Linked DNA regions of Diceros bicornis minor. The protein of the gene in region 1 purifies or fractionates together with the protein of each later gene. This does not show direct contact. Links are inferred from orthologs where the notes say so. Each region holds a gene or a part of one and is shown in the gene's direction. Other genes may lie near its edges.

Region 1 (9,704 bases):
CCCGGGAGGGTGTGCATGGCCAGGCCCCGGGCTGGACTCTGGAGCTCTCTGATGAATAATTATTGGATAATAATGACCATTCTTTTATTCCTTGAAGCATCTGGCATGGTGCTTGGCTCTCTGTACGAGATCATTGATTGAACAGAACTCCACGGCACTTCATTTCCCCCACACTTTCCCCGCTCATCAGGACTCAGATTCTCTCTCAGCAGGACAGCTGGAAGTCAGGAGCACGCAGGAAAATATTCTTTAGGAATTTCTCAGAACGCAGAATGGATCTAGGCTCTCACTTAGAGAAGGAAACTCAGGTTGCGTGAATTCCCACTCCGATAGTGACAGTTCTTCTAAAAACAAATTCCATGTTCTACACACCCCAGAATTCCGAGCTGCAACCTTCCATCATGCCCACCCCTCACCCCCAGGCTAAGCTTCCTGAGTTCCAGCTGTTTTATTTTTTCTGATTGTGGGAGAACTTTAAAATTGGGGGTTTGCTCTGCTGAGAATCTGGTCACGCACGTTGAGCCCTTCAGCCTCTCATTCGCTGCAGGATCTACGGCCTCAGAGTTGATGCCAAATCCAGCCGTTCTGCTCCCCACCCTGAGAGCTTGGCACGGAAATAGCAGCATGAATCACTCTGGAACTGTGGTGCAGTGCATGGGCCAGGACGCCTTCTGTGGCGGAGCTTCTGCTTGTGTTCCAGGGATCTGGGGAAGGGGACACTGGCCAGGCCGCATTGCCGCCTCCCTGCCCCCTCAGGAGGGCTCCGAGTTCACCGAGAAACCTGGAGAAGCCCAAGTGGGTGGAAATCATAAGAGCTAACATTTCTGAATGTTCAGAAGCGGCTTCACTGTGACACCCAATAAGCCTAAGCTTCAGGGTCCCCCATTTCCACCCTTTCTAGAGCTCCATACTTCATTTTTTACTTTGTATTTTTCTTTTCTCAAAGAAGGCTCTCAAATTTTTATAGGTTTATGAGTATGGGTTATTTTGTTTAATCCTCATAGTAACCTTGGGAAATCATCGGCCCTTCATCATCTCCATCTACAGACAAGGACGCTAGAGCACAGAAAAGCCTTCCTTGGATTCCTTGGAAATTCCAAGCTTATTTCAGCCTCAGGGCCTTTGCACCTTCTGTTGCCTGGTCTGGAAGCCCGTCCCTGGCTGGCTTCTCATCACTCCAGGTCTAAGGGGCCTTCACTAACCACCCACCCGTAGGCGCTCCTTCCTTCCCTGCCTCCCTGGTTACCCTCATCCCTTACCTTTTGCTTCCTTCATAATGCTCACCACTCTTTAGAGTTCTCTTCATTTGTGCATCGATGTCTACTTAAATGCATATAGTGCTTGCTCTGTGGTCAGGCACTGTTCTCTGCGCCTCACAAATATCAAATAATTTCATCCTCACAACTAGTCTGACATTGAGACTTTTTCATCCACGCCTTGAAATGGAAGCAACTGAAGCACAGAGAGGTGAAACAGGCGGCCTGAAGTCACACAGCTGAGGAGGTGAAGTCTCATCTGTCTCTCTCACTAGAAGAGATCCACGCAAGCAGAAGCGGCATCTGTGGGCTGCCTTGTCCACTGCTGAGCCCCGGCACCCAGAGCAGCGTGCCACACACAGCAGGACTAGAAAAAAGGTGTGTGGGAGACGATGAGACCACTTCACTCAGAGTGAGGAGTGGGAAGGAAGCCGGGAGAGATGCTGTGGGGAAGGTGATGGAGGCAGAGCTGGTCTGGGGGGCAGCAGAGGGACTGGCAAGTGTGTGGTCTGGAGACGGTGCCAGGAAGACATGAAGGTCTTCTGGGCAGATTTAACTCAGCAAATAAGAGAGAAGGCCACCAGCCTCAGTGTCACCTCCTTCCTCCATGCTCTGCATCCAGGGCATCGATCCATCCTGTTGGCTCTTCCAAAGTGCATCCGGGACCCAACGTTTCTCTCCCCTCCTCTGCTCCCACCCTGGCCCAGGCCACCATCACAGCTCCCCTGGATTATTACAACGGCCTCCTAAGAGGTCTCTCGGCTTTTACCCTGGCCCTCTTCATCTTCACAGCAGCAAGAGGGATCCTGATAAGACTAAGTCGGATCATGTCAGTCTTCTGCTCAAACCCTCCGGGCACGTTCCAGAGTGAACACAGTGGCCTCCCACCCTGCAGGACCTGGCCCCTGCTTTGTCTCCGCCTGGCTCTCCCACTCCCCACTCCCCGTGCTCCTGCCATTCTGGCCACCCCAGGGCCTTTGCACTGGCTGTTCCCTCTGCATGGTACTTCTTCAGAGTTTAGAAAATCTCACTCCCTCACTTCCTCAGGACTTTTCTCAAATATTAACTTCTTACTGAGGTCTGCCCCGGCCCCCCTCACCCAATGCTCCTTTAACCTGGTCCCTGCTTATTTTTCTCCACTGCACTTAAGCATATATACTATATCAACTTTTTTTTAGTTTGTCTCTCTCACTAGAATGAGGTCCACGGGAACAGGGATTTTGTCCGTTTGCCCCACTGCATTGGGCCCACAATCAGCCCTGACACATACCAGGGCGATCAGTAATATTTGCCGGATTAGCGGACGCCTGCTCTGAGCCAGACACTGCGCCATGCACCTGGAACACAAGGCTCAAGACACAGGGCCCTCGCAGACCTCACAAAATGTGGCCCTGATACCAGAGCTGCTGGTTTAGCTTGTGAGGGGACATACGTGTAACCCACTGTGATGCAAAAGCAAATAACAAGCGGACAGAAATGAGTAAGCTTGTTAGGGGCAGGTGGCCAAGGAACCCTGAAGCTCATCTCAGCCTGGAAGACAGGGTGCTAACCTGGCACAGCTGGTGGAAGGGGATCCCAGTGGAGGCCACAGCATACAGAGAGGCCCAGGGTGAAGGAGCCTGCTGAGTTCAAGGAGCAGAGGAGGGCCGGCCCAGCGGCTTAGCGGTGAAGTGCGCGCACTCTGCTGCTGGCGGCCTTGGGTTCGGACCCCGGGCGCTTGCACACCCTGCTTCTCCGGCCATACTGAGGCCACGTCCCACATACAGCAACTAGAAGGATGTACAACTATGACATACAACTATCTACTGGGGCTTTGGGGGAAAAATAAAGAAATAAAATTATCAAAGAAAAAAAAAAAGGAGCAGAGGACACGTAGGGCTGGAGTTTGGTGCTGACGGGGGGGGGGGGGGGGGGGGGGGGGGGGGGGGGGGGGGGGGACGACACGACGGGGACGGGACGGGACGGGACACAGGGAAGGTAGAGGCAGAAGGGCTGGCCTGCCAGATTAGACAGGCCCTGAGTCCCACACAGCCTCCAGGTTTTAAGCGAGGGCTGGGGTGACTTTGGTGTAGTGTTGAGTGGGTCAGAGGCAGCTGGGGTGGAAGAGGAGGCTGTGGAGGCAAGTTATTCGAAGCGAGATGGCCCTTAACCTCCTAGAAGGGATGCCATTGCCCAGAGAGGGGTGAGAATTGGGCACAGCAGGGCCCAAGACTCGCACCCAAGTCATGCGGCTCCTCTGTTCCATGAACCACACACTGATCCAGGGAGAAAAAAACAGCATCTTAATCCCGAGGGCCGTCTCGCCCACGCGCTAAGCCGTTTCCCCTCCCTTGGGTGCCTGCTCTGCCCCTCGCACATGGGCTGCGATTTAGGGCCCTCCGCCCACCAGGTGGCCAAACCCCTCACTGAGGTCTTTGTTTCCTTCACCAATTTGCATCCCAATAATGGAGGCGGCTCCCTTTCATTAAGTGCTAAAAACTCGACTGCATGACTAGGAACCCTCCCGCGGCCCTAGATCATCAAGCCCTACTCGAGAGGATCAGAGAGGGTGTGCGTCTGCACTAAGGGGACCAGCGGAGGCGCCCCGCCGGGGGAGAGCCGGGTCTGTAATGCCCGACCCCAGCGCCCTCCCCGCCACGCGGTATCTGAACCTTTGGAACCTAACAGCGGGGTCCGGGACGGGCCAGAGAGCTCGCCCCAGACCGACCCGAACCGGCTGGGAACCCCGAGCCCGACGCACGGGCGCAGGACCGGGGCTCTCGGCCGGCCTCGCGAGAACCACGCGGGACGCGACCCCAGCCAGCCGCCCCGCAGCCCCCGGAGCCCCCGCGGCAGACGGTGCTGGGGCCTGGGACGCCCATCAACCACCTCAGCGGCGAACCCCACGCGCCCTTTAATGGACAGCCATTTAGACCTATCAGCGCAAAGTGTCGGCAACTGTCCGCCCAATAGAATTTTTTTTCATCTGAAGGAGGTTCGTTCATGGAGACCGTCAGCCCAATGGGAGAGGTGGAAATTTCCAGAAAGAACAGGACCAATGGGTGCGGCCAGCGCTGCTACGATTGGCGGACCAAGCGACCAATCCCTGTCGCAGAAGACCGCCCCCCCTCCAATCGTGGGGTGGGCGGGGCTTGTCGGGGAGCGACCAATCCCGAGGGGCGGGGGAGGCAGGACAGAGGGGATTACTCCCCGCTGTCCAATGAGAGAGAAGCGAAGATGATGGGCTGGAGTTCAGGCCAATAGTAGAGAAGCAGGGAAAGCCCTCTAGAGGAGCGCGACCAGTGAGCAGGCAAGGCAGGGGCGGGATCCGGGGGTCCCGGCAGCTTCTAGTAGGTTCCAGAAGGCGGCGCGTGCGGTTGGGAACGCGGAGCGGACGGAGTCGATTCAACGGGGTTCCGTGCCGGGCTATGGAGCAGGTGAAGGGGGAGGGGCGGGCCCAGGCCCGGGGCCGCGGCGGGACCGGCGGAGGCCAGGCCGCGGCGGAGGGGCGGGGCGGCGCCGGGCCGGCGAGCGGCGGGGCGGCGCGGGCGTGAGGGCCGAGGCGGCGAGGCCGGGCCGCGGGAGCGCCCATCGCTTGCAGGCCCGGCGAGGAGGGCCGGGGAGGCAGCAGCTCGGCCCGCGGCCGGGCCCGGAGGCCTCCAGGGAGGTGGCTGCGGGCTGAGCGGGGCATGGCGCCGGAGGGATGGAGGGGCCCCGAGAGAGGCGGGAGGGATCGGTCCACACCAGGGACCTCGCCGCTGGGAGATCGGAAGTCGCCGACGAGGAGGGCACCTCGGGCTGGGCCACGGTTGACTGGGGGGAATGCGGAGACGCTCTGGAAGGAGCCGGGAGATTTGGTAGGCAGTTGGGGGACGCTGCTGTCCTGCATCGGGAAGGGCCGCGATGGAAGGGCGAGGGGCTGAGGAGCCGCGGGCCAACTTCTGATGCAGGAGGGAGGTTGCTGCACAAGTCCTTGGAACGAATTCCCTCCCTGCCAGCGTTTCGCAAATAGATGGGCGGCCTCTCCTCTTCCTCCTCCTCTTTTTTCTTTTTGTTTATTTGTGTGTGATTCAGGAGTAACAAGACTAACGTTTCTGAAAAGTCGGTTTCTAGTTAATTACACAAGGAGGGATCGGTCGCCGTAGGAAATTTAGGCAGTATGGATCAGCAGCAAGAAGTAAGTTGTTTGCCTCCGCTCAGCATCTTTGGGAGACCGAGTTTGAAGCTGCTGCTGGTTACTTGCAGTGGCTTAATTATATCCTGAGTGGCCTGAAGGTTGTGAAAGCCTGGAGAGATTTTATTCGGTTGGAAGCTGTCATTGAGCTGTAATGAATGATCGAACTGGGGGGAACGAAGAGAAGAGGGTTCGTTTTTTGTGGCAGGATCTATAAAACAGAACATTCTGCTGTAGTATAGCCATTGCTCCTTGAGCGACATCTGGAACTTCTTTGAGGAGTTAAAAGACAAAAATTAATAAATTTTTGCACTCTTGTGATAATTAAATTGTATCTGGGATTAAATAGGCTGTAGTATAAGCAAAAAGATTTCCAGGTTGAGAAACATATTATTCTGTTAAATTTAAGAAAGGAGCTTGTCCCGCAGTTATTAAAATAGAAAAAATATTTAAAAAAAAATCATGCTGCCCATTATAGGAGTGTATGCACAGGTAGACTGTAAATGAATGTTTCACTAAACTCAGAACTGCCAGTTTACTGTGACAGTGGTACAAACGGCCTGGCATTTTCGCTCCAGGTGTGTTAGAACCTACCTTTCCGCTTGTGACTTCTCTACCTATTTGCATTTTCGACTCCCAGATCCATATTTCAGTTTTAGGAGATATTGAAGTTGGACAGATTTAAGTGTCCAAAGTTGTCTTTTTTTTTTTTTTTTAAGTATCTTTCAAATAAATACATCCCACAGTGATACACTTTTCACACTTGACCCAGTAAGGGCATACAACTGGATAACGCGTTTCACAAAACGATACTTACTGTTATGTGCACTGCATGCTGGTATTTTTTCTCCCAGTTGATGTTTTAAAGCACTGGTCGTGACCTACAGACTTGATTTCCTGACCCACTGCAGGCGGTAGTCAGTTTGGAAAAGGATGTTCCGTAGGATAGACGGGAACTTTCTTGAGCTGTTCCCAGCTGCCTCTTGATACTAGCGGAGTTTTTAAAGTTTGTTCCTTTTGGTCTCCATCCTAGGCCCAAAGGTTTTTGTCCCTGCTTGGCAAGTTTGGCAGTCTCCTTTTGCTTTTTCCGTCTTTGAGGTTGTTTTCTAAGATCTCTCTGGTTCATGGAGGGAGGTTCCCAATTGGTGTGCTTCAGGGTTCCAAAATCATCTCTCTTAACAGAGTATTTTTTTGTATCAGTATACTGGGTCGTGGGTAGATGATAGAAAGAAAGAACGGTTTGGTAACTTGAAGGGTATGGCTCCATATCAAGAAATGTGTTTGCGGGCGGGCCCCGTGGCTTAGCGGTTAAGTGTGCGCGCTCCGCTGCTGGCGGCCCGGGTTTGGATCCCAGGCGCGCACCGACGCACTGCTTCTCCGGCCTCATGGCCGCGTCACACATACAGCAACTAGAAGGATGTGCAACTATGACATACAACTATCTACTGGGGCTTTGGGGGGAAAAAAAGGAGGAGGATTGGCAATAAATGTTAGCTCAGAGCCGGTCTTCCTCGGCAAAAAGAGGAGGATTTGCATGGATGTTATCTCAGGGCTGATCTTTCTCACAAAAAAAAAAAAAGAAAAGAAAAGAAATGTGTTTGTGTTGGAAGTTGGCCCTCCCTCTCTTGTAGGACATCCCTGGTTAGGAGAAACCCCTTTAATTAGGACCCTGTTCTGACATGGCTGGGGCCTCCTTCACTTTTTTAAACCTTCCCTTTGGTGTGTTCCTGCTTCTTTCATGCTGAATGTTTGAGAGGATAGGGGGTTAAACCACAAACAGTGTTTTTTTATCCTCTTCCATCCCCCTTGTAATATGTTAATGTTTAAGCATGCCAGAAACTGACTTCGGGGGGCTAGCTTTCATTTACCTTTTAAGGAACGGAGCAGTAATGTACTGTGTTGTGACATATCACCACACCTCTAGATGGAAGTAGATTCTCCTCTGACTGTGGGTGGGCATTCTGATGCTCCTGGAGACGCCGTCCCAAAGCCTTTTTGGGGCTGGAGCGTGTATCAGTGTATCTGTGCGCACTTGGCCCACGCCCGTCCTGCTCGCCTCCTCCCGTGAGCAGGAACTAGGCCTGTGTGCAGTTTACCGTTTGGACTCTTTGGAAATATATGGCAAATGAGTTTATTTCCATGGAAGGAGCTCACGAGTATGTCCTAGAGTGGCCTCGTCAGCTCGAAGTAGAGACTTGTGGAAGAGTGGCTGGAGTTCTTGCTGATCCGCGCGGGAGCCGGTGCAGAGCAAAGTGTCAGGCTTCTAGTTCCTGGTTATTTTCTTTTTTCCTTGCCTGTTCCCAAAGATGTGGAAAATATAAACGAATTAGCTTATGATTTTTTTCTTCTGATCTATAAAGTAACCTATTTATTGATAGCTGCAGAAAAGAATGTTACCTAAAAACTTGAGACTAAAGAAGCATGTTAAGGGAACTACATCAGTCCTTTTCTCTGTAGGTGAACGAGCTGAAAGAGAAGGGCAACAAGGCCCTGAGTGCCGGCAACATCGACGATGCGCTGCAGTGCTACTCCGAGGCCATCAAGTTAGATCCCCAGAACCACGTACTCTACAGCAACCGCTCGGCAGCCTACGCCAAGAAGGGGGACTACCCAAAGGCTTATGAGGATGGTTGTAAAACCGTGGACTTAAAGCCTGACTGGGGCAAGGTAAGCGGTGGGTGAGTTGGGGCTCTTCAGACTTCCAGAAATGCCGTTTGGTATACAGTTCTTAAATATAGGGACCCCCCTGACCGGCCAGTGGCCTCTGCCAATAAACTAATAGTTTATTACCCACCATCTTCCCTACTGTTTGAGTATGTTCCTTCGAGTAATGGCAGATTTCATCAAATCGGAGATACCATCATATATTAAGACATGTCTTACTCTTTGTACTACTAAGAAAGAAAATGCTGCCAAAGAAAGGGAGAGTTCTTGATCATAGATGGGTTGGCGGGGGAGGGGCGCATCTTTGGTATTTGGCTGGAGTCTTACAGTATCAGTCTTGGCCTTGTGTCCTGCTCCTCTCCCTGTCTGTTCTTGGGCCTTCACGTGAATACCCATTTTGTTCCATGAAATGTAAGATATGTTCTTTTGAGTTGGTCTTCTGGCTTTACCTGCGGGTGTCCTTTATTTTGTTTTGTGTCTGTCTTTGCTGGTTTAAGGGCTATTCTCGAAAAGCAGCAGCTCTGGAATTCTTAAACCGATTTGAAGAAGCCAAGCGAACCTATGAGGAGGGTTTAAAACATGAGCCAAATAATCCTCAGCTCAAAGAGGGGTTACAGAATATGGAGGCCCGGTTGGCAGGTAGGCACCATGTATACTGTCTTTTTCTTTTTTTTTTAATTGCTATTTTTTAAATGGGATTGAGTTTGAGGCTTTTTGTCCTCCCGTGTGTCAGTCTGGTTGGTAGACTACGGGGGCATAGTAACTCACATGAACTGACTTCCTAGTGAGGCACTTTTCTTTCTTGGGAACAGAGAGGAAGTTCCTGAACCCTTTCAACATGCCCAATCTGTACCAGAAGTTGGAGAGTGATCCCAGGACACGGTCGCTGCTTGCCGATCCCTCCTACCGGGAACTGATCGAGCAGTTACGAAATAAGCCGTCCGACCTGGGCACGTAAGTCGAGGTGGCACGGGTTGTCTCTGGAAATGGCCGGGAACACTGCTTCTTCCTGGGAGCCTCTGGCAGGAGGTGCCCTTGTTACGGACTGCAGGCTTTCTGCCTTTGCTTTTTCTCCAAAGAGCAGTAGGAGTTTGTTGGTTTGCTTGCTGTTTATTTGTATTTCTAGAATGGGTCACGGGAGGCATATGTCAGTAATCTGGAACGTTCATTCTAACCCTCACGTGCCTTTTCATTGCTCTCCTACAATTCTGATCTAGCGCCAGCCCTGTCCTTGCCATACCCTAGGCCCCACTGTCTCTGTGGGTATATTGGAGTGGAAACGCAAGGTTGAGAAGGTCAGGTGTAAAGCTGGGTCTCTAAACCTTGTCCTGGTGTCTGTGACCGTCTGAAGTCAGATGATGAAGCATACCTATAACTCTCTCTCAAGTTTTCTGTGCTTCCTCTCTTCTGATCTATAAAGTAACCTATTGTCTATTGGCTTCAAGAAATAAATCTGACCTGTGTTACCTCATTCTAGATGGACTTTTGAAGGGTTGAGTATTCCCCACTTGTACCTCATAGATAGTGTAGAGTCAAGCAGTCTTGTGTTGGAGAGAAGCTTTGATATGCAGTATTCTGTATATGTGCTGAGCTTCAGCAGTAAAGGGGGTTTAAGATCAGTTACGGGGAAG
Region 2 (10,041 bases), on another chromosome or scaffold:
CATCCTTCTAAATACTACTCCATGCAGTCAATCCTCATATTTGCAGACTCTGTATTTGCAAATTCTCCTACTCACTAAGATTTATTTGTAACCCCAAAATCAACACTCACTGCACTTCCCTGATCATTCAAGGACAGGTATATGTGTAGAGTGGCAAAAATTTTGAAACACCAGATGTACACATTCCCAGCACAAGGTGACGCTTTTCCTTCTTATTTCACCTCATATTTTAAACAAATGTTCTTTTCAGAGTCTATTTTTAGTGCCATATTTTTTGCATTCTGTGCTTTTCACTGGTGATTTTGCAGTTTAAAACAGCCCCCAGGCAAAGTGCTGAAGCGCTGTCTGGTGTTACTAAGCACAAGAAAGCTACGATGTGCCTTACGGAGAAAATATACGTGTTAGACAAGCTTTGTTACAGGGTGAATTACAGTGCCACTGACCATGAGTTCAACGTTAACCACTCAACAATATATATTAAAAAAGGTAAAGAGAAAGACACATAAAACAAGGTTATATGTTGATCAGTTCACAAAAATGTTGTGACCAGAGGCTCACAGGAACCTAACCATGTATTTTCTCTAGGGGCAATGATTCAGTATTTGCTAATACAGTGTTCTCAGTGACTTCATAAAACATAACTACCGCAACTGTTGTTACATGTACAAATTTGACATGTAACAACAGGAAAGCCACCAAATTAAAGAGCATTTTCAGGAACAAGAGATCATTTTCCCCAAACTCAGAAACAACAGTTGAAGGTTCCTGACAGGATAACCACCGGGACTGGTGATGGTGTTATTTCATAAGCTTACAGACTAAAAACATTAGAAGAGTACAACGCACCAAATCAGAAAATGAATATTACATCACCACGGACAAAGATCAAGTGGTGGCTCCATGGGTGCATATACCCCAGGGGCACACAAGATTCAACAGGGTAAGGGAAGAGAATATAACAACGTTCATTTATACTTACTATTTTAATCTCATCTTTAAATTCCAATTTATAACAATAATAGTACAATAATACGTGTACACAATTTATAAATTTTATTGGTAGTGCCTGCTCCAACTCTGCTGATGGTGTATATGAGCAAAAAATGTTGGGAGATCACCACTGTAGAGGATCAGAGTCAGTACCTGAGAAGAAAACAAACTCCAGAGGCACGTTTCCTGCACTGAGGGGCAGGGCTGGTGGCTTTGAGCACTCAGAGGGACTGGGAACATCTAAGGGAAGCTGGGTTCTACTGCTGCTCTGCCCCCAACAAGCTGTGATGATGCTCATACAGGATATCCCTCCAGGCATCAACTGACTCATATGAGCAATTAATTAGCTGGCTACAACATTCACTAGATGATCCTAGCTAGGAGCCCTTCCTGCTCTAGAAATCTGACAAATCTCTGACTCAGAGAAAATAAGACATAATAGCTGGTAAGTAAAACCATTGTTTGTTGTTGTCTGGAGCCTAAGGGCTGAGGCATGATAGAACAACAGGCTGTCCAGAGAACACCACTTCCCAGACTAGGAAGATTCTATGGAATCCCATAAGATATCCCGGACCATTAGTGTATCTTACATAGTAAGGCTGCATCATACACACATACAACTTTAAGTGCTCAGTAAAAAAAAAGAGGAAGGGGAAAAATAACCATAACCAGCGCTGGCATCTGTCTGCCATTCCACTCAGTGAGGGTGTTCTATTCCCTGGGACAGTCTCAGTTCCCCAGTGTCTCTTACAGTGTGAGTGGCTCAGTGTGAGGCTAACGTCTGACACACATATTTCTCATTTACATCACCTAATCTCAAACCAACTACTTCCTCTGGTGCTCAAGGGAAGCAGCAGGGATACGTTTCAACCCTAAAGGAAAAAGGGCTGCACATGACTTACTGAAAGATGGAAATTAGTCTCCAAGGAGGACTGACTTCCTCAGGGTATTTCACGGGCAATTTTTGACAATGCTCTATTTTCACAGTATATACTGACTGCAGAAACAAATCCCCAAATAAAGTAAGACTCAACTAAAGTTATTCTGGTTCCCAGGGTTCACTCCTAAACCTATCATCAAGAGGTAGTGTAAACTGAAATTTGTTACCATCTACTTTTACGGTACTTCATAGTGATTAAAGTTCTCTCGTATCAACTGTGTCATTTAACACACACAGCAGCCAAGCAAAGACGACGAACAAGCACTGTAGTTCCCATTTCAGAGGTCGAATGCAATAACGTAAAGAGTAAGAGTTTTTTGAGTCAGACAATTTGGGTTCAAATCCCAGGCATATTGTTCAATTTTCCAGAGTCTTAGTTTCCTATCAATAAAATGCAGACAGTGCACACACCTCACAGAGTTTTTGACAATGAGTCAAGTATACAAGTAGCATGCATACAGTCCCAATGTTTGTTTCCTTTCATCATTCCACAAGAATTAGGGCTACATGTTCCAACACCTAATGTGACTAATAAAGCCCAAAGTAGAACAAACATCTCACAATTCCCAGCTCCATGCTCAGAGATTCAAGGATGCAATCTCTTTAAGAGGTGTTCAATCTATACAAAAATTGATATATAATAATGTACACCTGAAATTACACAATGTTATAAACCAATATGACCTCAATAAAATAACTGGAAAAAAAATTTAAAGACCAAAAAAAAAAAAAAAAAGGTGTTCAAAAGGTCAGTCCTTGAAATACTCTGCTTGAAGTTTTTTTGTTCAAGCAAATTTGTGAAATGCCATTCTCTTCAAGACATATGTGTGCATATGTGTGTATGATATAAAGGCTCTGAAAAGTCATGCAATAAAGAAACCTAGTTGAACATGTATAGCCTAACATTTCCCAAAAGTGCATTTAATAATGGAATCTTTTTTGCAAAATTACTGTAAACACCCACACAGATCTAATGTTCTTCTGAATACGCTTTTACAAACATCATTTTTGATATATTAATGTGTAACAAATTAATGAGTATTCTAATAAATAATTAATATTAATAAAATAACAATACATTATAGGACAAGGCATAAGAAACTATCCTTTAAACAAGATCCCCAAATCATTTTTTTGCAGTCTGCCTTTAATTTGCCTATAGACTAGTGTCAAGCTCAAAAAAATCTATTTAGGCCATTAGGGCATTTTTACCCTCAGAAAGACCTCAGAATAAGTCTGCCATAAACAAAGATTCCAAGAAGTGGCTCATACTTTCATCTGGCAGAAGACACAGTGGGGGGGGGAAGGTGGTAGAGGCACCTTGTATGTTTTAACAAAATTGATTTGCATGAGGTATCTTATTCCCTAAATCAACTTTCCAAGAATGGTATATATCATATGCCACAATACTCTCTCTCCTGTCATTACCCCTGGTCTCCTGATGACAACGGAAAGTAAGAGAAAGCCAAAATAGAGACAGTGAGCTGTAAACTATAAACCACAAAGATGAGAAATCCTTTTTTCTCTGAAAACTCCAAGAAAGCGGTTATTCTGCCACAATCAACAAGAAAAAGAACGTCAACTCAATTACCAGCATTTGGGCGATCCTGAATTTTTCTGCAGAGGCATCCGGTGTGATTAAAAACTTGGAAAAAAATGCCAAACTAGATTTCTTAAGAATCTGTGCTAAGATGTCAAGGTATTATGATTCTTCTAAAAACTTTGCAAGTGGTCGATATATTGGAGTCCTAAAAGTGTACACTGATTTTATATTATCACCCACTTCAAGACAATCATTCTTCACAGGTAATTTTTTGAAATAAAACTAAATTTAAAAAATTTATGCGCCGGCCCCGTGGCTTAGTGGTTAAGTGCACGCGCTCAGCTGCTGGCGGGCCGGGTTCAGATCTCAGACGCGCACCAACACACAGCTTCTCTGGCCATGCTGAGGCCGTGTCCCACATACAGCAAGGAGAGGGATGTGCAGCTATGACATACAACTATCTACTGGGGCTTTGGGGAAAACATAAATAAATAAAATTATTAAAAAAAAAATTTATAACTTAAAACTTACCAGTTTGTTGGAAGATGGGTTTTTCCTACTCTGTAAATGATATCTCGACTATTATTGTACGTAAGCCTTTCTAGTTAACGCTTTCATCTTAAACCTCTAGAAGTTAAATAAAAAGACGACTAGGCCCAGAGAATTCTTTAAAAAATTATACTAATATTTGATATTTACGTATTCTGACAGACGAATAGAATATGTATAAAAAAGAAACCTGATATAGCGCAAAGTTGTGAGCTTGTGAATCAGGTGTAGACAAATGTTGGTTAACAGGGACACTCTAGGAGGAAGGTTTTGAGTAAGACCTTCAAGCTTCCGTGGTTTTCTGAGGAAAATGAACGAAATCTAAACGTGTTTGTTCTACAGCTTAATAAATCAGCTCTGGGTTCCACCTAGTCCAGTAACATAACAGGGTGCAGTTCGGCCACTAGCAGCAGGAGTGGGAAGGGACGAAGAGCAACCATTATCGCCCAAGATACCAGGGCTACCAGAAAACTCATTTTGACACTTCAGTCTTTCCCTTTTGTGGGACTGGAGCCTCCAGGACCACGAAATCGCGGCCGCCGCCTCGCCAGGCCTCACTCTGCACAAAGCGGGCGCTCACCTGGCCGGCGGGGGCGCCCACGTCGCGTCACCCCGCCCAGGCGGAGCCACCGTCCTCCGCCCTTTCTCGCCACCACCTCCATCCCTTCCCATCCATCTGTATCTAACCAAGGGCAGTGTAAAGTTGGTGCAGTGAGAAAAGCGTCCCTGCATCCCGCCGCAGCCCTTCGGCTTCCTCCCATCCCACTGCGGGTGCAAAGCCACACCGCCTCTCCAACGCCTTGTGTCTCCAGTGCAAGGTCTGCAATACTTAAGAACAAATTTTTAATTATTTTTAAGCACAGGTAAGTTCCCCGCTCCCTTCCGCCCCTCACCTTCACGAAAGCAATCGGGGTTGTGGTACCTTCGATATCTAACAGGATCACAGTGACTTCGGCAGGCACCGAAAGCACGACCATTTCCCTACCGGATGCTACCACTGGAATCGGCCTACTGATAGGGAGGGCGGAGGGCGGCGCCGGCTGCGCCCCAGCACCTGCCCGGGCCTCCGACAGCCCGCAACAATCTCGGAGCCGGAAACCGCGCGCGACCCGAAGCGCGAGGGGTAGAGGCCACCTCCGCGCCCCTAGAAATGCAGAGGGCGGCGGCACGGAGGCCGTGAACTCGCGAGCTGCCAGGGCAGGAGGCCGAGACCACGTGGGCAGTGAAAGGGGGCGGGCCTCGCAGCGTTCCGAGGGGGTGCGGGACGGCAGAGGCGCCGACGCCGATTGGCCGCCAGAGGGCCTCGAACCCGATCCGTCAAAATGGGCCTCGCGTGGGCGGGAACAAAGAAGCGAACGCGGGAGCCGGGTGCGCGGGCGCGCGCTCTCCGCAGACAGGTTGAGCGAGCGGGAGAGGCCCGGGGCACGTGCAGACGGGAGGCCCGCGTGTGGCGCGCCGGGGATGTGAGTGCCCCTTGCCCTCTACGGCACCTAGCCCCCTCCCCGCCCACTGCCTCCGCTTTTGCATATTTACAGTAATCTGACCGGGCCCGCGCCCCTCCTCCCGGCCTCTGCCAGCAAAAGAGGCCGCGCCGCTCCCGGTTCCGGCTCATCGGCAAGGGAGGCCCGCCGCGCCCCCTCAGCCCGCGCGCCGGTGGCCGTAGCGGAAGAGGCACTCGGGCCGCGCCGCTGCCCTGAGGGGCCCCGCGCTCCTGCTTCCTGTTCGGCTGGTTCCAGCCAGCTCGAAGACAAAACACGCGTGCGCGCGGCGGGTGCCGGGCGCAGTCCGCCTTTTTCCGGAGCAGCCCTGCCACGGTGCTAATCGCCAGCAGCTGCCGCCGCAGCAGCTCCGCACTGGGGGACCGAGGGCGGAAAAAGGCGGGGTTGACGGCTCTTTCCTAGGAGTGGGCTGGACCGGACGGCAGAGACAAAGGCTCTCAAGGCAAGAGGGACTGTGGCCCTGTGACGGCGCTGCTCGGGATTTTGGACTCCAGGACTTTTCGCCCCTTCGTTTTTCTCTTCTGACGCTTCTCTCATCCCAAGCCCGCGTCCCCTCTCCCGCGACCTCGCTCCTCACCGGGAGGGCCGCGATGGAGGTCCCGCCCCGGCTTTCCCATGTGCCGCCGCCATTGTTCCCCTCCGCTCCCGCTACTTTAGCCTCCCGCAGCCTCTCCCATTGGCGGCCGCGGGCGCCGCGGCAGCTCGCCCCGCTCCTCCCTTCGCTCGCTCCCAGCTCCGCCCGGCAGGGGGCGCGCCGAGCCCAGCGCCACGTCACCGCCCAGCAGCCCTCCCGATTGGCGGGCGGGGCGGCTATAAAGGGAGGTCGCAGGCGGCGCCCGGATCTCTTCCGCCGCCATTTTAAATCCAGCTCCATACAACGCGCCGCCGCTGCTGCTGCCGCGATTCGGACTGCGCGCCAGCACCCCCCGACCGACAACTCCGCCGCCATGGAGGACATGAACGAGTACAGCAACATAGAGGAATTCGCAGAGGGATCCAAGATCAACGCGAGCAAGAATCAGCAGGATGACGGGTACCACACGCCTTTCCCTTTTCCCCAGCGCGCCGCACGCGCGTTTCGTCCGTGGGGAGCCGCGCGCTGCCCCCATTCTTGCCTCGGGTCCATTCCCCGCGTGCCCGCTGGGCTTCCCTGGCTTGGAGGGAAGAGGAGAGTAGGAGACGGAGGGGGTGACTGGGGAGGCCCCGGAAGGTGGGGGAAGGGCGGAGGGGTTGGAGGAGGAGGGCGGCGGTGTGTGTGTCCCCAGTGCGCAGGCGCCGCGTGGGGCCCGAGGGGGAGGGGCCGCCCTCGCTGCGCCACATGCTGCAGCCGCCGCCGCCGCCTCTTCATTGTGTCTCTGTTGGGGTTCTGCGCAGTGTTTCTGGGGACCGTTTGAAGAAGTTTTGGCGTGGGAACCAGTAGACCAGTGGTTCCCAGATCCCCCGAACGCCCTCTCATGAATTCTTTAGGTGGAACCTGGGCTTGACAGCTGAGGAAGAGGGTGGAACTAAGTTGTGAGGGATCAGTTAGGAAGTTGGATTTTCTAACCTAAAGTTATCTTGAACGTATTTTGTTGGCCTCGTTTAAACTTTGCATTATGCGGTGTGGAGAGCTAACTGTCCACTGTGTTGAATAAGTGACCTTGATGGAATTTGGGGATTTTTGTGGTCTGTTCGTGTGTATCTGTAAGCGTGGATTACATCATTTGTACATAGGGGTAACTTTCCCTGTACTTACTTGGTAGTTAAACGTAATTAATCCCAGAACTGAAGTAATTGTTGGAGCTACTGCTAACCTTTTAAAAAAAACCAAACTTTTATTTCTAGTAAAATGTTTATTGGAGGCTTGAGCTGGGATACAAGCAAGAAAGATCTGACAGAGTATTTGTCTCGATTTGGGGAAGTTGTAGACTGCACGATTAAAACAGATCCAGTGACAGGAAGATCAAGAGGATTTGGATTTGTGCTTTTCAAAGATGCCTCTAGTGTTGATAAGGTAGGAATGTGTTTCACGTCGTGCTGCTTTTGTGTGACTTTTGCGTGTTGTTCGGGGGCTTGGTTGTGCGTTGTTGTCAGATTAAATAAATCTGTCTTCTAGGTTTTGGAACTGAAAGAACACAAACTGGATGGCAAATTGATAGACCCCAAAAGGGCCAAAGCTTTAAAAGGGAAGGAACCCCCCAAAAAGGTTTTTGTGGGTGGATTGAGCCCAGATACTTCAGAAGAACAAATTAAAGAATATTTTGGAGCCTTTGGAGAGGTGCGCTGTGATTATGTTTACGTGTATTTTATATTTAGTGTGTTTATATAATATTCATCCTTGGCCCTCTTCTTACAGAACAAATTCACATGTGAGAGGAGGATGGGATTAAAATACAGCTCAGATCCCTTCCAGTCACCATATTTTAATCACTGTTTTCTGTGCTATAATGGAAACCAATATCTAATTTATTTTGGCCAAAACATGGATGCTTTGGTATGGTCAGTGTTTGGACTTATTAACTGTTGGCATCTGTTGGGTATGAATGATACTAAGTAAAGGAAGTTTTGCTCTCCCCTGTAAATGCTTCACAGTTAAATCACTGTAGTTTGATATTGATAATAAGGCAGTAGTCTCTCTGTAGGAGTCATCTGATTAGAATAACATGTTATATTGAAGCTGGAAAAGGACCTGTGGCATTCCAAGATCTTTTGGTAGCTTTTTACCATTACTGGATGATCTTGAGTGTGCATCTTGATTTCAGATTGAAAATATTGAACTTCCCATGGATACAAAAACAAATGAAAGAAGAGGATTTTGTTTTATCACATATACAGACGAAGAGCCAGTAAAGAAATTGTTAGAAAGCAGATATCATCAAATTGGTTCTGGGAAGGTAAAGCCATTTTAATTATGTTAAGTGAAAAGTTTAAGGAGTTGTGTGTGTGCGTGTGAGAAATTCTTAGTCTGTCTTGATTAGAATAAAATGGCTTAACATAGAATTTCAGTAACAATTCTATTTGTTTGCTTTTTAAAACTTGTTCATAGTGTGAAATCAAAGTTGCACAACCCAAAGAGGTATATAGGCAGCAACAGCAACAACAGAAAGGAGGAAGAGGTGCTGCAGCTGGTGGACGAGGTGGTACTAGGGGTCGTGGCCGAGGTGAGACTTAATTCTTGGGAAATGACTGTGGTTTAACTTATAAATTGCTAAATATGAATAAGCCCAAAGAAAGGAAATCCAAGTTTAAACTTCCAGCATGGAAAATGCTCAGCTTAGTGGGTGGGGTTTTGTTTTTAATGAGTTTACTGGTTTCACCTCTTCAAAGAATGGCCACTCTGACAGTGTCATCACTGATGGGAAAAGAATACCATTAAATGTAGTTTAAACTACATGATACACCATGGCATGATAGGTTTTTTTCGGCAGGAGTCCTTGTTTTAAAGCCAGTCTGTTTTCACCTTTGTCCTGATTTTCCATTAAATTTACGAAGCTTGATACTGGCACAGTTGAACTTTCTGCCCCCTATTTTATGACAACCGGAAAGATCTTTTCTCAAGCAGATAGTATTATGGAAGTCCATTCTGCCTTTTAAGATTTGCAGAGTGAGGGACAGGAACGCATCGTTTTATGTTAGGATTGGGGGTCAGAAGTTGTTTCCTAACAATCATTGTGCATTGTTTCAGGTCAGGGCCAAAACTGGAACCAAGGATTTAATAACTATTATGATCAAGGATATGGAAATTACAATAGTGCCTATGGTGGTGATCAAAACTATAGTGGCTATGGCGGCTATGATTATACTGGGTATAACTATGGGAACTATGGATATGGACAGGGATATGCAGACTACAGTGGTAAGAATATTTAACTTAATTTCATAAACCCAATGGTATTAAAATTCAGTGTTAAAGTACAGTCCCATTCTGAAATTGTGTGTGTGTATGGGTTTTCCATTTATTCAAGTGTTTGGAGTTACGTTTTTGAGGCATCTGATGGTCATAGGATGGTTATATTAATACAGAGTCTTTGTTACATATGTTCTAGAATATATGATAAATGACTATAATGGCTGTCAAAGTATCTGATTATTTTAATACTTATTTGGCATGCAGTGTTTACACATTTAATACTTTTTAAATATACTTATAATGAATATTTCATAGACACTATCTTAATATAAATTTTTGTCTTTACAAAATAGGCCAACAGAGCACTTACGGCAAGGCGTCTCGAGGGGGTGGCAATCACCAAAACAATTACCAGCCATACTAAAGGAGGACATTGGAGAAAACAGGTGTGTATAATAATACAAGAAAGCAGTAGAAATGTCTAATTTAATTTAAAGATCAATAGACAAATGAAAAATAAGTAAAAACAAAATATTATGTAGCCTGTTTTTACTAAATTGTTAATTTTTTAATTGCTTTATGAGCCTGTTTTGCCTAAAGTGTCTATAGATCTTTAACTTTAAAGTCTTATCTCACTTTCTTTAGTATTACAGAAAAACTTAAAAGTTTTTCTGTTTGCTTTGTGTACCAG
Region 3 (9,501 bases), on another chromosome or scaffold:
TCGTTCCCCTTCCCACTGAACCCTCGAATTGGCCCTTTCAGGCAGGAACTGTCATCCCCATTTCACAGATGGAGAAGGCTTTGAGTGGCAAAGTAGCTCTTCCAAGCTCACGTAATAATAGTTTGGAGGAAAAATCAAACTCAGGTCCCTAATTTCAGAAAATGTGCTCCTGGTACAGAGTGTCAGTTTGGGAAGATGAAAAAGTTCTGCAGGTGGATGGCGGTGATGGTTGCACAACAATGTGAATGTGCTTTATGACACTGAACTGTACACTTAAAATCACACTTAAAAATGGTTAAAAAGGTAAATTTTATGTTATGTATATTTTACCACAATAAAAAAAAGAGAGAAGGAAAATGTGGTCCTAACCACCGATTATACTGCCAGTATTGGCTGAGGAGCCTTCATTACTCTCCATGCTGTTTTTGCATATGTTTGCTTTCCTCATTATGGTAATATTTTATATTTTGTCTGGCCTCTTTAGCTTCAAATTCTCAGAGAAGTAGAGGAAACCTCACTATAACCCCTATATATCTGCTACCCACAATAGTTACCAAACCCCCACAGCATATGTTAGAAAAAAAAATGGCACACACCAGAAGCAGGCAAGGTGGTTTGTCTTGCAAACTGACCTAAGCCAGCTTGGTCATGCATGCATAGCTATCGCTTCCTTTTGGTAGGTGTCAGAAACCACCGAGAGAGTGTGAGGTGAGCGAGAGTTAGTGACTCTCCCACAACCTTCCTACCAGGTTTGTTTTTTCAAAGTTGCACTGAGATATAATTTATATACCATTAAAGTTCACTCATCTAAAGTGTACAATTCAGTGGTTTGAAGCCTATTTACAGAGCTCTGCAACCATCACCAAGATCTAATTTTAGAATACTTTTGTCACCTCAAAAAGAAATCTTGTACCCATTAGAAATCACTCTCCATCCTCCCTGTCCCCTCCCCACTTCCTACCCTAGGCAGATGCTAATCTGTAGATTTGTCTAGTCTGGACATTTCATATAAATGAAACTATATAATAAATGGTCTTTTGTGACTGGCTTCTTTCACTTAGCATAAATGTACACATTTTTGTGTGGACATATATTTTCATTTTTCCTGGGTGTATGCCTAGGAGTAGAATTGCTGGGTCATATGGTACCTCTACATTTAATCTGTGGAGAACTGCCAAACTGTTTTCCAAAGTGGTTGTACCATTTACAATCTCACTAGCAGTGTATGAATGTTCCAATTTCTCCACATCATGTCAACACTTGTTATTGTCTGTCTTTAATTTTAGCCATCCTAGTCGGTTAAGGTAGTATCTCATTGTAGTTTTGATTTGCATTTCTGACTAATGATGTTGAGCATATTTTCATGTTATTTACTAGCCATTTGTCAATCTTTTTTGAAGAAATGTCTAGTCACATCCTTTGCCCCTTTTAAAAGTAAGTTGTCTTTTTATTATTGAGTTGTAAGAGTTTTTTTAATATATTCTAGATAAAAGTCCTGTATTGGATATATGATTTGCAAATATTTTCTTCCATTTTTTGAGTTATCTTTTTGCTTTCTTTTTTTTTTTTTTTTTAATTTATTTATTTTTCCCCCAAAGCCCCAGTAGATAGTTGTATGTCATGGTTGCACATCCTTCTAGTTGCTGTATGTGGGACACGGCATCAGCATGGCCAGAGAAGCGGTTCCTCGGTGCGCACCGGGGATCCGAACCCAGGCCGCCAGCAGCAGAGTGCGCACACTTAAGCGCTAAGCCACGAGGCCGGCCCTTTTTGCTTTCTTGATGATATCCTTTGAACCACAAAAGTTTTTAATTTTGATGAATCCCAACTTATCAATCTTGTCTTTTATTCTTATATGCTTTTGGTGTCATATCTAAGAAACCATTACCTAACCCAAGGCCACAAATATTTACCCCTGTATTTTCTTCTAAGAGTTTTATATTTTTAGGTCAATAATCCATTTTGAGTTAAATTTTGTATATGGTGTGAGACAGGGGTCCAACCTCATTCTTTTGCATGTGGCTATCCAATTGTCCAACATCATTTGTTGAAGTCTATTCCTTTCCTTCGATGAATCGTCTTGGCACCCTTGTTAAAAATCAATTGATTATGAGTGTGAGGGTATATTTGGAATGCGTAATTCAATTCCATTGATCTATATGTCTATCCTTATGCCAATACTGCACTGTTTTGAAGTTGGAAAGTGTGTTGAGAAGCCGGAGCAAGTGTACTGAATTCAGAATATGCAGATTATGACCTGCTGAATGAGGAGGCACAAGCCACCCACATTGGGTCGGCAGGTAGCTCCCTCAGTATCTGAGCTCCCACTTTGGAGAAGTGAAACTTATGGGGTCATTTTGATTGAAGGCACAGTTTCAATACGCCCACACAAAGGAAGTAAAGTCAAAAGATTTATTGCTCACAAATCGCAGAAGTCGGGCCGGGGGTTGCAGGGGGGAACTGCTTGGCACAATGAGCCAGGATAACGGCAGTCCTCCTTCCCAGGTCACTAGCAAGCAGGAGATAGAGAGCCACATAGCAACCACCTATTATTTATAAGGGTGTTGGGGCAGAGGTCGCCAACTTTTCTCGGGCTTAACTCCAAGTGGTTATTTAAAAATGTGCCCCAGGAAAAGCAAAGTGGGAACTTATGGCGGGAATCTTAAGTTCAGGTCCTTACCTAAATGTCCAGATTCGGGGTGTGAGCAGAGTTATCATACTGTAGAATGCCTAGGCAGCAACTCAGAAAAACAAAAGTTGTTTTTCTCATCACAGAAAGTTTGAGTCCACTTCATTCTTCTTTTTAAAGATTGTTTGGCTAATTCTGGGTCCCTGGCTATTCTGACACCAGTGCAATACTGCAGTGTAATTCTGATGCTAACCACCTGCAGTTAGCGTCAGACTCCACAGGTTTGAGGGCACAGGTTTAAGTCCATCAAGATTGCCCTTATTTCAGGGGCCGGCCCGTGGCTTAGCGGTTAAGTGCGTGCGCTCCACTGTTGGCGGCCCAGGTTCAGATCCCAGGCGCACACTGACACACTGCTTGTCCGGCCATGCTGAGGCGGAGATCCACATTAAAGCAACTAGAAGGATGTGCCAGCTATGACATACAACTATCTACTGGGGCTTTGGGGAGAAGAAGGGGAAAAAAAAAAGGAGGATTGGCAATAGATGTTAGCTCAGGGCCGGTCTTCCTCAGCAAAAAGAGGAGGATTGGCATGGATGTTAGCTCAGGGCTGATCTTCCTCACACACACAAAAAGATTGCCCTTATTTCAGATGCTAACCTCAAATGGGGTCCCCAGGTCATCCATACTTAGACTGGCTATAAATCCAAGAGGTTCCCATGACCCCTCTTACGTTCAACAATTCAATAGAATGATTCACAGAATTCAAGAAAAAGTTATATTTATGATTACAATTGTATGCTAAAGGATACAAATGAAGAGACACATAGTGCAAGACCTGGGAGGGTCCTGAACGCAGACCTTCCATGCCCTCTCCCCATGGAATCAGGGCACATTACCCTCCCAGCACATTGATGTGTTCACCAATTTGGAAGCCACCGAGTTTTGGTGTCCAGAGTTTTTACTGGGGTTTTATTATGTAAATATTATTAACTGAAATGTTTGGCCAAGTAGTTGAATTCAAGCTTCAGCCTCCCTCCCTTCCCTAGAGGCTGGGCTAGCTCAAAGCGCTAATCTTTTAATCACATAGTTAGTCTTTCTCGTGACCAGCCCCCATCTGGAGTCATCTCATTCATTAGCATCAACTCTGGATTGAAATGACCTAGGAGACTATCTTTTATATCCAGTTGAGGTAAGTAAGGGACGTTAACTTAGGCAAAAATGGATTGTAAATGCCACAAAGAAAACTTAAACCTAATCTATTATATTACATTAGGCAAAAGGGGTTCATTCATTTTTTCTTAGACCATAATGAGGGCAACGGAGATGGAGAAAAATGAAGAGAATCTGGAAGCGTGTCACAAGTAAAGCCCATTGGACTTGCTAACTGATTAAATACAGGGCTGAACAAAAAAGAGACATCAATGATGATGCTTAGGTTTTTGGTTAGAAAGAGAAAGGCATCTTCTGACAGCTAAAACTGGCCTTATACTGTCAGGTAACACTTGGTGTCCTCCTATTAAACAATTTCACAGAATGTCAGTATCGAACAGGGACTAAGATGTGACTTCGATGGATCAAGATAAAAACAAAACCACTTCTGGGCCGGCCCCGTGGCTTAGCAGTTAAGTGCGTGTGCTCCGCTACTGGCAGCCTGGGTTCGGATCCCAGGCGCGCACCGACGCACCGCTTCTCCGGTCATGCTGAGGTGGCGTCCCACATACAGCAACTAGAAGGATGTGCAACTATGACACACAACTATCTACTGGGGCTATAGGGAAAAACAGAGGAGGAGGATTGGCAATAGATGTTAGCTCAGAGCCAGTCTTCCTCAGCAAAAAAAAAAAAAAAAAAGAGGTGGATTAGCATGGATATTAGCTCAGGGCTAATCTTTCTCACACACACACACACACAAAAAAACCACTTCATATTCATGTCTGAAGACAAGACAAAAATGTGAGCATTGTCCAAACCACAAAAATGACCAAACATTCCCCTATCCTGGCTAGTAGGAAGGACTATTGCTTCCCTACCAATTATAGGTTTAGCCTCCCTTCATTCCTCCCACCTTCTCGAAAAGATGGACTAAAATAATCATAGAATTATCCCTGCTTCCTGACAGTATTAATTCCAGAGCAAAGTCCTGCTTCCTTCAACCTTCCCCCAAATCACCTAAGACACTCCCAAATCCTATAAGAAGCCTTTTCTAACACCCTCTTACTGAGATACTCCCTCACTGCAAAGAGTCAGTAAATCCATCTTTGTTCAATTATAGGTGTGCTCTTGGTGGTTTTTGGCTGAAGGGCATTGATGTTGGCATAAACAACTCAAACTGAATGAGGGTATACCCTGAGAAGGGAAAAATGGAGTCGACCATCTTTGCTAGCCTTTCTGACAAGCCTATATCGCTGGATGCCCCAGGTAGAGGCTGGAAGGCTTACCAGTACCTCTCAGAAGCGCTCTGAGGTTTTCACTGATCCTCCACGCTGTTCCCTCTAAGGTATCACCAACTTATATTAAAACATAGAAGGAATTAATAGCTGATCTTTAATGAGTGTGTACTATGTGCCAAGCAGTGTTCTAAAGGCTCTAGATGATTTAATTCATTTACTTCTCCCATCAACTCTATGAAGTAGGTACTGTTATTATCGGGTTTTACTACTGAGAAAAGTGAGGTAAGGAGGTTTACATAACTTGCGGAGTGAGTATTCGAACCTGGTCACGTTCTAGGCCCACCAGAGCCGTCCTCAAGCCCCGCGGCTAGGCCGAGGCAGCCATCTTGTTTGTAGTCTGCAAAGACTGCAACTCCCGGCATCCCTCGCGGCAGCAGCTCTCCACACACAACAAATCCCGGCGTGCCCCTGGGCGGCCCGGGGTGGAGGGTTCTAGAAGGCGTGACGTGGGGTCGAGAGCGGGCTCGGAGGCGGGCGCCTCTTGGCAGTCGCTGTGGCCGCAGCTGCTGGGTCTGGGGACGCGGGTGGCCGGGGACGCGGGCGCAGCCTCCTCGTCTCCCCGGCCATGGCCGCGCTTGGCCGGCCCTTCAGCGGCCTCCCCCTGAGCGGCAGCTCGGACTTCCTGCAGCCGCCACCGGCTTTCTCCGGCCGGGCCTTCCCGCCGGGGGCGGACGGCGCCGAGCCTGTCCCGCGGCCGGGACCCCGCGCCGCCCCGAGCAGCGCCGGCGGGAGCGCGGCGCGCGGACGGTGAGGAGCCCGGCGGGCGCGGGGCGGCGGGCGAGCGGGCTCGTTAACCTCTCTCCCCACGACCCTCTCAGCCCCGGTGTACCGGTAAGGAAACTGATCCCCAGAGACGTTAACTGTAAGCCGGCGGAGGGCGCGCAGCCGCCGAGTCGGGCTCGCACCTGGGCCGGCCGGCGCCTCCGGGAAGTGAGGAGACTTGCCCAGGCGCGCCGGCTCGTGCGGGGATCGGAGCCCGGCCGCCCGGAGCCTGGATGTCCCCGCGGCGCGGCCGCTGATGCTGACAACTTCCAGCGCCGCTCGGACGCTCAGTTTCCTCATCGGCGGAGTGGGACAGCGCTGGGTCCTCCTAGTGGGAGCGCGGGAGTCGAGTGCTCAGCGCAGTGCCTGCCCGAGGACGCTCGCCCGCCGTAGGCGCCCCCACCCTTAGCTCCCTCCACCTGGACCAAAGGAGAGGTTGAGATTCAGCCTCTAGTTGTGTCAGGAGCAGCAGCGTTTACCTGACTGACATTGTGACTTGTGTATCCGTCTCACTCGGCGAGGACGGGGACAGCTAGTCCGTGTGGGGTGGGCAAGGTTATTGGAGCAAGAAAGAGCGGATGCCGCGAGCGCAAGCCCAGGCCGTTTCTCAGTTGACTGATTTTTGTTTGTTTCAACAGTGTTTCAGGTCGCGGTAGAAAGAAACACAAGCGGGAGGAGGAGGAGGAGGATGAGTAAGTTTCAGGTGCCATTTATTCACTTTATGGTCACTTAATTTAAGCTATTTTGTATTCTCAACTACTTATTTTAAGTGGGAAGGTGAAACAGGTGTCCCTGAAAGGAGGCGCAAGGAACTGACAACGCGGTTACCTTTTAGGGAAAGTAACTGGGTGGCTGGCAGGTCAGAGGGAGACTTTCCACTCTAGAACCAATTCTGAACGTTTGAATTTTGAGCCGTGTGAGTATTATTACATGCACAAAGTAAAAATTCCAAATGTGCGAAAGGATGCACATTGAGAAGTCTTACACTCGGTGCTCACAGTCCTCCCCAGAGCTCACGCCTCTTACCTGTTGCCCGTTCCCCTTTGGAAGATAACCAGAAAACCTACGAGGTTATGACTGTATATACTTCTGGTTTTTTACATTAGTAGGAAGATACTGTTCACACTGTAACACATTGGTCTTTTCATTTTACTTCCTGTAGCTTGTTGCATGTGGGCACATAGAGTTCTACCTGATTTCCTTTTCAATAGTTGAATGGAATTGTTGTAAGGCTAGGCATAGATAATTAACCAGTCTTCTATTGATGGATTTCTAAGTCATTGCTAATGTTTTGCTATTACTAACCATGACCGTTATGCAAGTAGGTGAATGGATTCCTCGATGGGGAATTGCTGGGTCTTAAAAGTGTATGCATTTCAGGGGCCGGCCGGTGGCGCAGCTGTTAAGTGCGCGCGCGCTCCGCTTCGGCGGCCCGGGGTTCGCAGGCCCGGACCCCGGGCGTGCACTGGCGCACCGCTTGTCAGACCATGATATGGCGGCGTCCCATATAATATAGAGGAAGATGGGCACGGATGTTAGCTCAGGGCTAATCTTCCTCACACACAGAAAAAACAGTGTATGCGTTTTAAGTTTTGAACAAGAGTTTTGCCAATTTTTATTTCTTTTAACAGTGGGAATTTCTCTTTCTGCATCTTACCGGAGCTGTATTTTCAAACTTTTTGACTTATTTGATAGGTAAAAAGTTGCATCTCATAGACAGTCTGTGAGAAAGATGAGTAAAAGAATTCCCGGAAGATGATTTCCAAATGACCAGCCAGATGAAAAGATGTTCAATCTCATCAGTCTTTAGGGAAATGTATATTAAAGGTACAGTGAGCTACTTACTCTACTACCAGATATTGGAGCGGTCGTGGAACACCAGGAACTCGCACACAGTATGGCTGAGGATGTAAATTAGTACAAGCACTTGGAAAACAGTTTGGCATTATCTAATAATTTGAAGGCACACATACCCTTTTACCCACCAGTTCCCCTCTTGAGTATGTACACACAGACATTGGGAGACACGTACAAGAAAGTTCATAGCATCCTTGCTGGTAATAGCTCAAAACTGGAAACAACCCAGATGTCCCTCAATGGTAAAAGGGATAAAGTAAATTATAGATTCATACAATGGAGTTCTGTTCAGCAAAAAAAAAAATGAATTACACCTGTCAACATGGATGTGTCTTATAAGCATAATATGAGCAAAAGAAACGTCACAAGAATGTATGCAGTATAATTCCCTAAATGTAAGGTTCAAAACCAGGCAAAACTAAACATTGTTTAGGGATGCATATCTGCACGTGTGATAATTTTTTTTTTTTTTTTTTTACTAATATCCATAAAAGACAGTGTTTATGTGTAGGGAGGAGGGAATAGAGTATCATTTGGGGATGCTGGCAGCAGTCTGTATTTTGAATATTACTTTCATGGATGTTTTGTAATTATTCATTAAATAATGAATAATTCATTGTACTTCTATGAGCGTAAGAGTTTATAGTTTGAAAGAAATTAGATCAGTGTTTTAATTTGTGTTTTGTGAATTACAGGTGATGTTGAACATCTTTTGATTTAAGCCATTTGTGTTTAATTTTGTGTGAATTGTTCATGTTTCTGCAGGTTTTTTATTGGCTTATTGGTCTTGTTAATCTGTAAGAAATATTTATTAAAGAAATCAGTTTATGATGTGTGTTATACGTGTCTTTCCAAAATTGGTCATTTGTGTTTTAGCTTTGTGTTTGATTTTTTTTGGCCAGCAGAAACTTTGGATTTTCTAACCTTGTTGATACATAGACTAATAAGACAGTAGATTTGAAAGGTGCCTTTGTGTTTTGTTTTGTTGTGTTTTGCTGAGGAAGATTCGCCTTGAGCTAACATCTGTTGCCAATCTTCCTCTTTTTGTATGTGAGCCACTGCCACAGCATGGCCACTGACAGACAGTGGTGTAGGTCCGTGCCCAGGAACTGAACCCAGGCCGCCAAAGTGAAGCGTGCCAAACCTAACCACTAGGCCACCAGGGCTGGCTCTGAAAGTTGCCTTAGTTTAAAAACCACTGGACCAGACAATATGTTCTTTATTGCCTTGGGGTTGCTGTGGATACCCAGGGACCTCTTTGCTATTATCTTTTGGGGTTCTCTTTAAGAGGTTATTGAATAAAGAGTTCCAGTGTTAAAAATAAAAAATTTGAAGTGTAAAAACTATTGGCTTAAAAAGTTAACCACCTATAATTTACAGATGGAGAGATTGAAGCTCTGTGAGGATGAGGGACTTGACATTTGGATGTCTGATGCCCAGAAGTGTGCTTCCCAGCTGCCACTTCCATAGCTCTTATCAGTACTTTGAAGTATTTTATATCACATTTTCTTTGGGACTTAATCATCATTGATCTCTAATTATTTGCAAAATGGACCTACAAGCATGAAATAATTTAGTCCAAATCATGTTGGAGGTCAGAGATCAGAACCCAGCTCTTAGACACAGTTACGTTAAATAGTTGAATTGTTAGGTGTGCTAGGAAATTAACTGTTCCCCTCTAGATTTATTTCGGCTCTTTCTTAGCTGGTTTCTTATGTGTATAACTTTTTCTTCTGCTTTCCAAACATCACATACTTTAAAACTATGCAAGTGTTACAGAAATATTTGATGTATAGCTAGGCA

What was found.
Region 2: the proteins of STIP1 (region 1) and HNRNPDL fractionate together in Homo sapiens (co-fractionation; 3 studies listed by BioGRID, with this or other methods). This does not show direct contact. The link is inferred for Diceros bicornis minor from reciprocal best matches to the Homo sapiens genes STIP1 and HNRNPDL.
Region 3: the proteins of STIP1 (region 1) and CCDC117 purify together in Homo sapiens (affinity purification with mass spectrometry; 5 studies listed by BioGRID and IntAct, counting the BioPlex papers as one, with this or other methods). This does not show direct contact. The link is inferred for Diceros bicornis minor from reciprocal best matches to the Homo sapiens genes STIP1 and CCDC117.

Annotation. Positions count from the first base shown.
Region 1 is NC_080770.1:8,791,997-8,801,700, reverse strand, and holds the start of STIP1 (stress-induced-phosphoprotein 1), read left to right. Parts: upstream 1-5,379; 5' UTR 5,380-5,394; coding exon 5,395-5,412; intron 5,413-7,866; coding exon 7,867-8,076; intron 8,077-8,570; coding exon 8,571-8,712; intron 8,713-8,885; coding exon 8,886-9,027; intron 9,028-9,704. UniProt on the Homo sapiens protein: Acts as a co-chaperone for HSP90AA1. Mediates the association of the molecular chaperones HSPA8/HSC70 and HSP90.
Region 2 is NC_080747.1:67,126,321-67,136,361, reverse strand, and holds the start of HNRNPDL (heterogeneous nuclear ribonucleoprotein D-like), read left to right. Parts: upstream 1-6,078; 5' UTR 6,079-6,111; coding exon 6,112-6,554; intron 6,555-7,345; coding exon 7,346-7,514; intron 7,515-7,616; coding exon 7,617-7,778; intron 7,779-8,262; coding exon 8,263-8,394; intron 8,395-8,546; coding exon 8,547-8,661; intron 8,662-9,185; coding exon 9,186-9,356; intron 9,357-9,703; coding exon 9,704-9,774; coding exon of another isoform or gene 9,775-9,796; intron 9,797-10,041. Other genes in the region: ENOPH1 (enolase-phosphatase E1), read right to left, coding at 4,916-4,999. UniProt on the Homo sapiens protein: Acts as a transcriptional regulator. Promotes transcription repression. Promotes transcription activation in differentiated myotubes. Binds to double- and single-stranded DNA sequences. Binds to the transcription suppressor CATR sequence of the COX5B promoter.
Region 3 is NC_080774.1:22,547,717-22,557,217, forward strand, and holds the start of CCDC117 (coiled-coil domain-containing protein 117), read left to right. Parts: upstream 1-5,538; 5' UTR 5,539-5,644; coding exon 5,645-5,826; intron 5,827-6,479; coding exon 6,480-6,533; intron 6,534-9,501. UniProt on the Homo sapiens protein: Facilitates DNA repair, cell cycle progression, and cell proliferation through its interaction with CIAO2B.